Macaca fascicularis: one gene and its partner. The protein of the gene in region 1 interacts with the protein of each later gene in a biochemical or structural test. Links are inferred from orthologs where the notes say so. Each region holds a gene or a part of one and is shown in the gene's direction. Other genes may lie near its edges.

Evidence for each region.
Region 2: the proteins of PLIN3 (region 1) and M6PR form a complex in vitro, tested with the Homo sapiens proteins (2 studies listed by BioGRID). The link is inferred for Macaca fascicularis from reciprocal best matches to the Homo sapiens genes PLIN3 and M6PR.

What each region holds. Positions count from the first base shown.
Region 1 is NC_088393.1:5,639,362-5,643,458, reverse strand, and holds the start of PLIN3 (perilipin-3), read left to right. Parts: upstream 1-1,297; 5' UTR 1,298-1,686; intron 1,687-4,097. UniProt on the Homo sapiens protein: Structural component of lipid droplets, which is required for the formation and maintenance of lipid storage droplets. Required for the transport of mannose 6-phosphate receptors (MPR) from endosomes to the trans-Golgi network.
Region 2 is NC_088385.1:11,995,768-11,999,267, forward strand, and holds the end of M6PR (cation-dependent mannose-6-phosphate receptor), read left to right. Parts: intron 1-843; coding exon 844-970; intron 971-1,445; coding exon of another isoform or gene 1,446-1,568; exon of another isoform or gene 1,569-2,482; coding exon 2,483-2,710; 3' UTR 2,711-3,024; downstream 3,025-3,500. UniProt on the Homo sapiens protein: Transport of phosphorylated lysosomal enzymes from the Golgi complex and the cell surface to lysosomes.

The sequences.
Region 1 (4,097 bases):
CTACCAGAAGCTTCATTCTATTCAAATAATTTAGCAGAAGTGGCAAACCGGTGGCCCCTGGACTGGACACAGCCCCTGTTGTTCCCTAACAGGCAGGACATGTCTACGGCTTGAACTTCCTGTGGATCTGTGACTCCCCAGGTGGGTCTCCCATAGGACACTGCTCTCCCCTGCCCCTCTAAGCAGAGCATCACTGCCACCTCCTCAGCAGAAATATTCATCTCCTCCTTGTCCCCTAGGGCCATCTGAGATTGAGACCTTGGTTTATAGACCAAGAAGATAAAGAATTTGGGTGGTGGAGAGGGGCGGGGTAAAATCCAGGCAGAGGCAGCTTCAGGAAGAGGTTGATCCAGCAGTCACAGAGCCTGGAACCTGACGGCTGCCTTGCCCCTGGCTGACCCTCTCCAGGCCTCAGTTTCCTCCTCCACAAAACAGGGATGATAAAAAGTCAATATAGTGTTGGGAGGTCTGATGCTGGGCAGGTCGGGCTGGAGGCTGGATGAGTTCCCTGTGGTGGTTCAAGTCGCTCATATAGCTGGGTTGGGCCGGGTGCGGTGGCTCACACCTGTGATCCCAGCACGTTGGGAGGCCCAGGCGGGCAGATCCCTTGAGGTCAGGAGTTCGAGACCAGCCTGGCCAACATGGTGAAACCCCGTCTCTACCAAAAATACAAAAATTAGCCAGGCCTGGTGGCACGTGTCTGTAACCCCAGCTACTCAGGAGGCTAAGGCAGAAGGATCTCTTGAACCCAGGAGGTGGAGGCTGCAGTGAGCCAAGGTCATGCCACTGCACTCCAGCCTTAATGACAGAGCGAGACTGCGTCTCGAAAAAAAAAAAGGGTGTGTATGTATATATATATAGCTGGGTTGCAGCCCATGGTGGAGGGCCTGGCGCCTGACGCGCTGGCGAAGGTCACCCTGCAACTCTCCTGGGGTTCTAGCAGCCTCAGTTTGGCCATAGGGGAAATGGGCGACCTAGGGAATCCCAGCACCCGTGCGGCGCCCCGATCGCACTCACCTCCCAGGGCCAACTTCATAGGGTCCCCAGCTGCGGAGCGGGGGGTCCCGTGACTGGGACAGGCGTGGTCCAGGAGTGCCCCCTCCCCTTCAGGGCGTGTAGTCCTTCGCGTACTTCTTAAGTGACTTGGCGAGGGGCGGGGCCTAGTGGAGGCGGGCTAGGGAGGAGAGGGGCGGGCCTGGCGCAGGCATTCCCTCAACCTGATTGGTTCTCTCGCCCGTCACTCCCTTGCGCCCCCAACCCACCGTGCAGTAAAAGCCAGCCCCGCCCCGGCCCTGACGGTTTCAAGGCTGGTCTGGAAGCCGCAGTTATTGTGCCTGGGACGTCCAGTTGACCGCGGTGAGTGGCGGGGGTCCCTCAGTTGAGCTGGGGGGCGGTGTCCACCGAGTCCTGGGGCACCCCAGGGGCGGAGGGGTCGGGGAGGGCCTTTCTCGGGGTGGGATTTGCTGGACTCTGCGGCCTGGGGAGGGGTCTTCAGCCCAGGCTGGTCACCCCTCCCCCCAGAAAAATCCAACGTCTGCAACGGAGCTTGAACTTTGAAACCCTCTTCTCACTTCCTGGGACTTTTGAGGGTCGAAAGATACTGAGGGAGGTGGGCTAAATACCGCCCCCGTCCGGTTTTCTCTAAATTGTGATCAGTTTGCTTGCTTTTGGAAACGCAATTTGCAGGTAAGTTTCCTCCTGCAGGCAGAAACTTCGCCCTCCCTTCCGGGGTCTTCAGAGACACCCCTCGCCACCGTAAAGCCGCCTCCCCTCCAGATGGTTTCGCCACGGGCGTTGGAAGGGGGGTTGCCCCGGCTCCTGGCGCCCCCAACTGCTTCTGGGGAGGTCTTGGGCGAATCCTGCCCGCTTCCCTCGGGTGGGCGTGGCGGCGAGATGGCTTGAAAGTAGGAAGGCCTACCCCTTAACTGCTTTGGGGTTCTTGTCCCGGCTGGGCCTAGCGGTGGGACCTGGGGCTCTTGGAATTTTTGAAGTCCAGTCTTAGCATGCCCTGAAGTTGCTGGATGACTGGGTCTGGCCTGAAACTCCCCTTCTGGAGCCAGCGGCAAGGCAGGTCACTGACCCCCAGGGGTTTCATAGGGCGTTGACATCTGCAGTGGCCACCCTTGCTTTAACCAGTTCCAGAAAGTCATGGTGGACAGAGGGGACGGGAGGAAGCTGCCTGAGTCCTAAGTGGGACTTGGGAATCTGTCGAGGCCAGGACTTTGATGCCTGCCTACCTGGCCGCCTGCCCAGGTGAGCTCAGGCTCCGAAGGAGGTGAGAAGAATAGATTTAGGCAGTGATCACTGGGAGGTAGGTATATCTTCTCACCTGACTTCCCAGTTGGGGGTTTTTTGTACCTAGCAGGAAGCTGGTTCCTGGCTGGCTGTACCCCTTTGTCCGTGGAAGCCAGAGTGCGGTGAGATGGTTTATGGAGCTCTTACTATGTGCCAGGCATGGAGCTGAGCTTCCCCGGAGCAGTGTCTCCTCCAGTCCACAGGGACTCCAGGCTCTTGTGAAACTTATACCCATTTCACAGATGTGGCAAGCAAGGCTCCTAGGGAATGCTGCCTGCCCAAACTCCTATTCCTAGTGAGTTGCCAAACTGGGATTAGAACCCACTCTGGACTGGGCACGATGACTCACGCCTGTAATCCCAGCACTTTGGGAGGCTGAGGTGGGCAGATCATTTGCGGTCAGGAGTTCGAGAACAGCCTGGTCAACATGGTGAAACCCCACCGCTACTAAAAATATGAAAATTAGCTGGACCTGGTGGCAGGCGCCTGTAATCCCAGATACTCTGGAGGCTGAGGCAGGAGAATCCCTTGAACCTGGGAGACGGAGGTTGCAGTGAGTTGAGATTGCGCCACTGCACTCCAGCCTGGGTGACAGAGCAAGACTCCATCTCAAAGAAAAAACAAAAACAAAAAGAGAACCCAATCTGGACTCCAGATCCAGTGCTCCCAAAACATCATTTTGCTGAGTTCTGCTTAGGGGACATCAAAGCAAGGCCACCAGGAGGCGGGGCCTCATTCCTCTGGAAAAGATGCTCAGAGTCAAGGCCACAGGTTCTTAGGCTCACACCAGAATTCCCCGGGAAAGCATCCCATAAGGCAGGCATGACCTTTAGCCACATATTTTTTTGAGATGGAGTCTTCCTCTGTCACCCATGCTGGAGTGCAGTGGTGTGGTCTTGCCTCGCTGCAACCTCTGCCTCCCAGGTTCAAGCAATTGTCCTGCCTCAGCCTCCGAAGTAGCTGGTACCTGCCAAGTAGCTGGTGCCTGCCACCATACCCGTGCCTAATTTTCGTAATTTTGTATGTAATTTTGTATATTTAGAGATGGGGTTTCACTATGTTGGCCAGGCTGGTCTCGAACTCCTGACCTAGTGATCCACTCGCCTCAGCCTCCCAAAGTGCTGGGATTACAGGCCTGTGCCCGACCCTTTATCCTCATATTACAGGTGAGATGACCGAGGCCAGAGAAGGGGAAGGTGACTTGCTCCAGGGAGCACAGCATAGGTGGAGCTGGGACTCCTGGCTTTCCCCTGAGAACCTCATCTGATGATGGTGTCCCTGCTTTATCTCACTTGTGCAGGAAAACGGGGTTGTGGCTTCATCCCACTTGCATAGACTCACCTGGGGAGCCCCGTCCTCCCCATACCCCTGACCTGGGCTTCATAGCTCTGCAGTGCAGGCAGGCATGTTATCTCACTTTCAAAAAAAAAGCCTGCATTTTGACTGGGTGCGGTGGCTCACGCCTGTAATTCTAGCAGTTTGGGAGGCCAAGGGGGGCAGATCCCTTGAGCTCAGGAGTTCAAGACCAACCTGGGCAATATGGCGAAACCCTATCTCTACTAAAAACAAAAAAACAAAAAAAAAACACGTCCGAGTGCGGTGGCTCACGCCTGTAATCCCAGCACTTTGGGAGGCTGAGGCGGGTGGATCACAAGGTCAGGCACTCAAGACCAGCCTGACCAACATAGTGAAACCCCATCTCTACTAAAACTACAAAAAATTAGCCGGACGCGGTGGTGCATGCCTGTAATCCCAGCTACTCGGGAGGCTGGGGCAGGAGAATCGCTTGAACCTGGGAGGTG
Region 2 (3,500 bases), on another chromosome or scaffold:
AGTATGCCTTATCAGAACAGACCTTCTTTCCTTTTGTTTTTAAGATCAGTAACTATATGGTGGTACATAAGCACAAATTGTACATGTGTATATTATACTGTAATTGATGGGGATGACTTTTTAAATCCTCTGGCTATAAAATAATTCTGCCAGGTCACAGTGGCTCACACCTGTAATCCCAGCACTTTGGGAAGCCAAGGCAGGTGGATCACCTAAGGTCAGGAGTTTGAGACCAGCCTGACCTACATGGTGAAACCCTGTCTCTACTAAAAATACAAAATTAGCCAGCACAGTGGCACATGCCTATAATCCCAGCTACTTGGTAGGCTGAGGCAGTAGAATCACTTGAACCTGTGAGGTGGAGGTTGCCGTGAGCTGAGGTCGCACCGTTGTACTCCAGCCTGGGCAACAAGGGCAAAACTGCATCTCAAAAAAAAAAAAAAAAAACTGACTATGCAAGTTTTTTTTAAATGAGATTTAATGTTTAGTTGCCGGTATAGATTTGCATTTGGAGGTGCTTTTTTCCCCTGCTGGAGGACTAGGCAATTTTTATATTATTTCATTCGATTATCAGAACTTTTAGAGAAATGGAATCATATACTTAACGGTGATTATTCTTGGCCATAGAATCACACCCTGTCACACTTTGGGCCTTTGTTTCTCTTGGACTGACAGCACTCTAATTGGTTTTCTAAGAGCTACCAGCCCCCTTTTTCATTTAGTGTCACTACTCATTTTTCCTTTTCAGGGAATGTATCTTAGGAAACAGCTAACGATAAATACAGAGGTTATCCTGAGTTTTACTAGTTCTCAGTTCTTAAGTATAGACTTCTTTCTCTACAGGTTTGCGTCACTGGTTGCTGTTTATGTTGTTGGGGGGTTCCTATACCAGCGACTGGTGGTGGGAGCCAAAGGAATGGAGCAGTTTCCTCACTTAGCCTTCTGGCAGGATCTTGGAAATCTGGTAGCAGTAAGTAACAGGGCAGCTGGTTGAATTTGTAGCCTGCAAACAAGGCTGGGTGACCAACCATCCTGGTCTGCTCACACTGAGGGGGTTCCTGGGACACAGGACATGGAGTGCTAAAACCACAAAAGTCCCAGTAAACAAGACGGTTGCCCTAGTACAAAGTAGTAAGTGGCATAGCATCCGTTTCTGGCCTTGGTAAGAAATTGCTGAAAGAGCAACACTGTTGATGACCAGGTGGGCTCTTCTAAATCTGATTTAGCTTTTAAGTGGGCCTGGGTGGGAAGAAGGGAAGGCCTAAGAAGAAACTTTTTCTCCTGTTGTCCCAAATTGAATTTAGGCTGATTGTCACATCTTTTAGGTTTTCTCATTATCCCTGTAGAAAACCAATTCTTGCCACATTCCTAGACCATAAGTACATTTTTCTCATAACCTAAAGTTGGATGCTCCAAATTATTATTATTTTTTTTCTCCCCTACAGGATGGCTGTGACTTTGTCTGCCGTTCTAAACCTCGAAATGTGCCTGCAGCATATCGTGGTGTGGGGGATGACCAGCTGGGGGAGGAGTCAGAAGAAAGGGATGACCATTTATTACCAATGTAGATTGCACTTTATATGTCCAGCCTCTTCCTCAGTCCCCCAAACCAAAGCTACACAGCCAGATTTCTCAAGCAGTCTCAACTCCAGTCTCTCATCTCACCCTTACTATTGCTCTTGCTTTCCAGTTTGCTTTTGATTTGCATCTTCTCACTAGTAAAACTGCCTTCCCTTTGTTCCTTATTTTCTGTTTTTTCTCTAGCGAGGTACAGTTGTAAGTCAGACTTAATATTAATAGGGCCTGTGAAAACAGGCTTTTGCATTGTCTCTTGACATCACAAGGTACAACAGGCATATGGGCAAAATGGTGTGGCAGGCTCACTGGCCCTTTGTTTTTTAAACACATTTTCACAAGTTTTTGAGACACTGGATTTCTTTAATTAAAAAAAAAATGCCAAGAAACATTATTTATACAGGTTTGATTGCTTTCATGTTGTTATTCTGTACCCTATAGTAGTCTCCATGAGAATCTGGTATTTCTTGCTGCTTGGAACTACTTTGCAGTGATTACTTGGTTGCAGTCCAAGTACTCTCATTTAGTCTGAGCCTGGAGATGTTCTAGACTTGCTTCTCCCACCTCTGGGATTAGGACAGGAAAAATGTGAAATTTCCCTTTACAGGATTATACGGTACCATCACATCATTTGTGGAAATTGGGGTAACTGTATAGCTGGGATTGGGCCATGGATTGTGGTCTTATCTGTCCATATACAGCCAAAATGCCTATCCAGAAATCCAGTCCACTGGAAAGGAAAATTGGAACTCCTGTGCCACAGGGGTTCCAGAAAAGGGAAGTCACTTTACCTTGCGGTGGTGGGATCCTGATGTCTTTCTTCCATTTGTAGTAAAAGCTGGTAAAGCTTTTCTTACTCCTGGTTCCCTATACCAGTATTTCTAAACGTGTCGCACTTTCTCCACAGGCATGTGGTTTTGACCTTTTTTTCAATCTTCTGGAAAGGGAATGGAAGCAGAAGTGGGACATCGAGGGCTCTGCTGTCCTCTGCGCTGGGTGTGGAATGCTGCTGCACCTGTCCCTTCTGCTGGCTCAGGGAAGTGTCTTCTTGCCCACATTTCTGTGGGGAAAGGTTTTTAATCCTCCGATGCTTCCATGTTCCTGTTTAGGCCATGTGCCCAGAAACCTGGACTGATCTTTCTGTAATAGTGAACCCCTGGGCCACTGAAGAGTAATATGGCTCCACTGGACACAAAAGAGGAATGGAATCAATAGGCAGGGGGCCTTTTCTAAGCCTTAGGAAAAGAAAATGAAACTATTTCATCTTTGGACTTTTCAATACTATTGGAGTGATTTTTTCTTTCTAAACAGGGAAAATAATGTTACAAAAGCATCTTTTTTGTTATTTGTTTGCATCCCTCCCCCCCCACACCCTGGTGTTTTAAAATGAAGAAAAAAAAACATCACTTTTTGTACAAAAACTCGTAATGATTAAAAAAACAAACAAAACATATTGGCCTAGTCATTTGTGTGAACGTGGGCAAAGACTGGAATAGAGTAAGACAACTGAAACCGATTTTCATCCTTTTACTGAGGAAAAAAATATTTAATATTTTTGTTGTATAAGGAATAGTGCCTAAGGCAGGTACTTATACTCCTGACCTTAGCCCCACGCACTCTGGTTTTATACAGCTATAGGACAGAGCAGAGTTGGAACTGAAAAATAGGGTACAAAATAACAAATTGGAGGGGAACAGTGGGATGCAGAAAGAATGAGCAGCCACATATGCCCCAGTCAAATACTTTTAGTCCCTGCAGCATAAGAAAGATGCCAATCAAGTCTCTACACTGGCTGGGGATCCTGCCGGGAGAAAAGATTCAATCACAAGGGAGTAAGTGACAACAAAGAGAAAACTCTGAGCCACAGCTACACTGGCAGAGGGCGTACCAGATTTTGCTACTTGTGTCACACAAGCTAGAAAAAC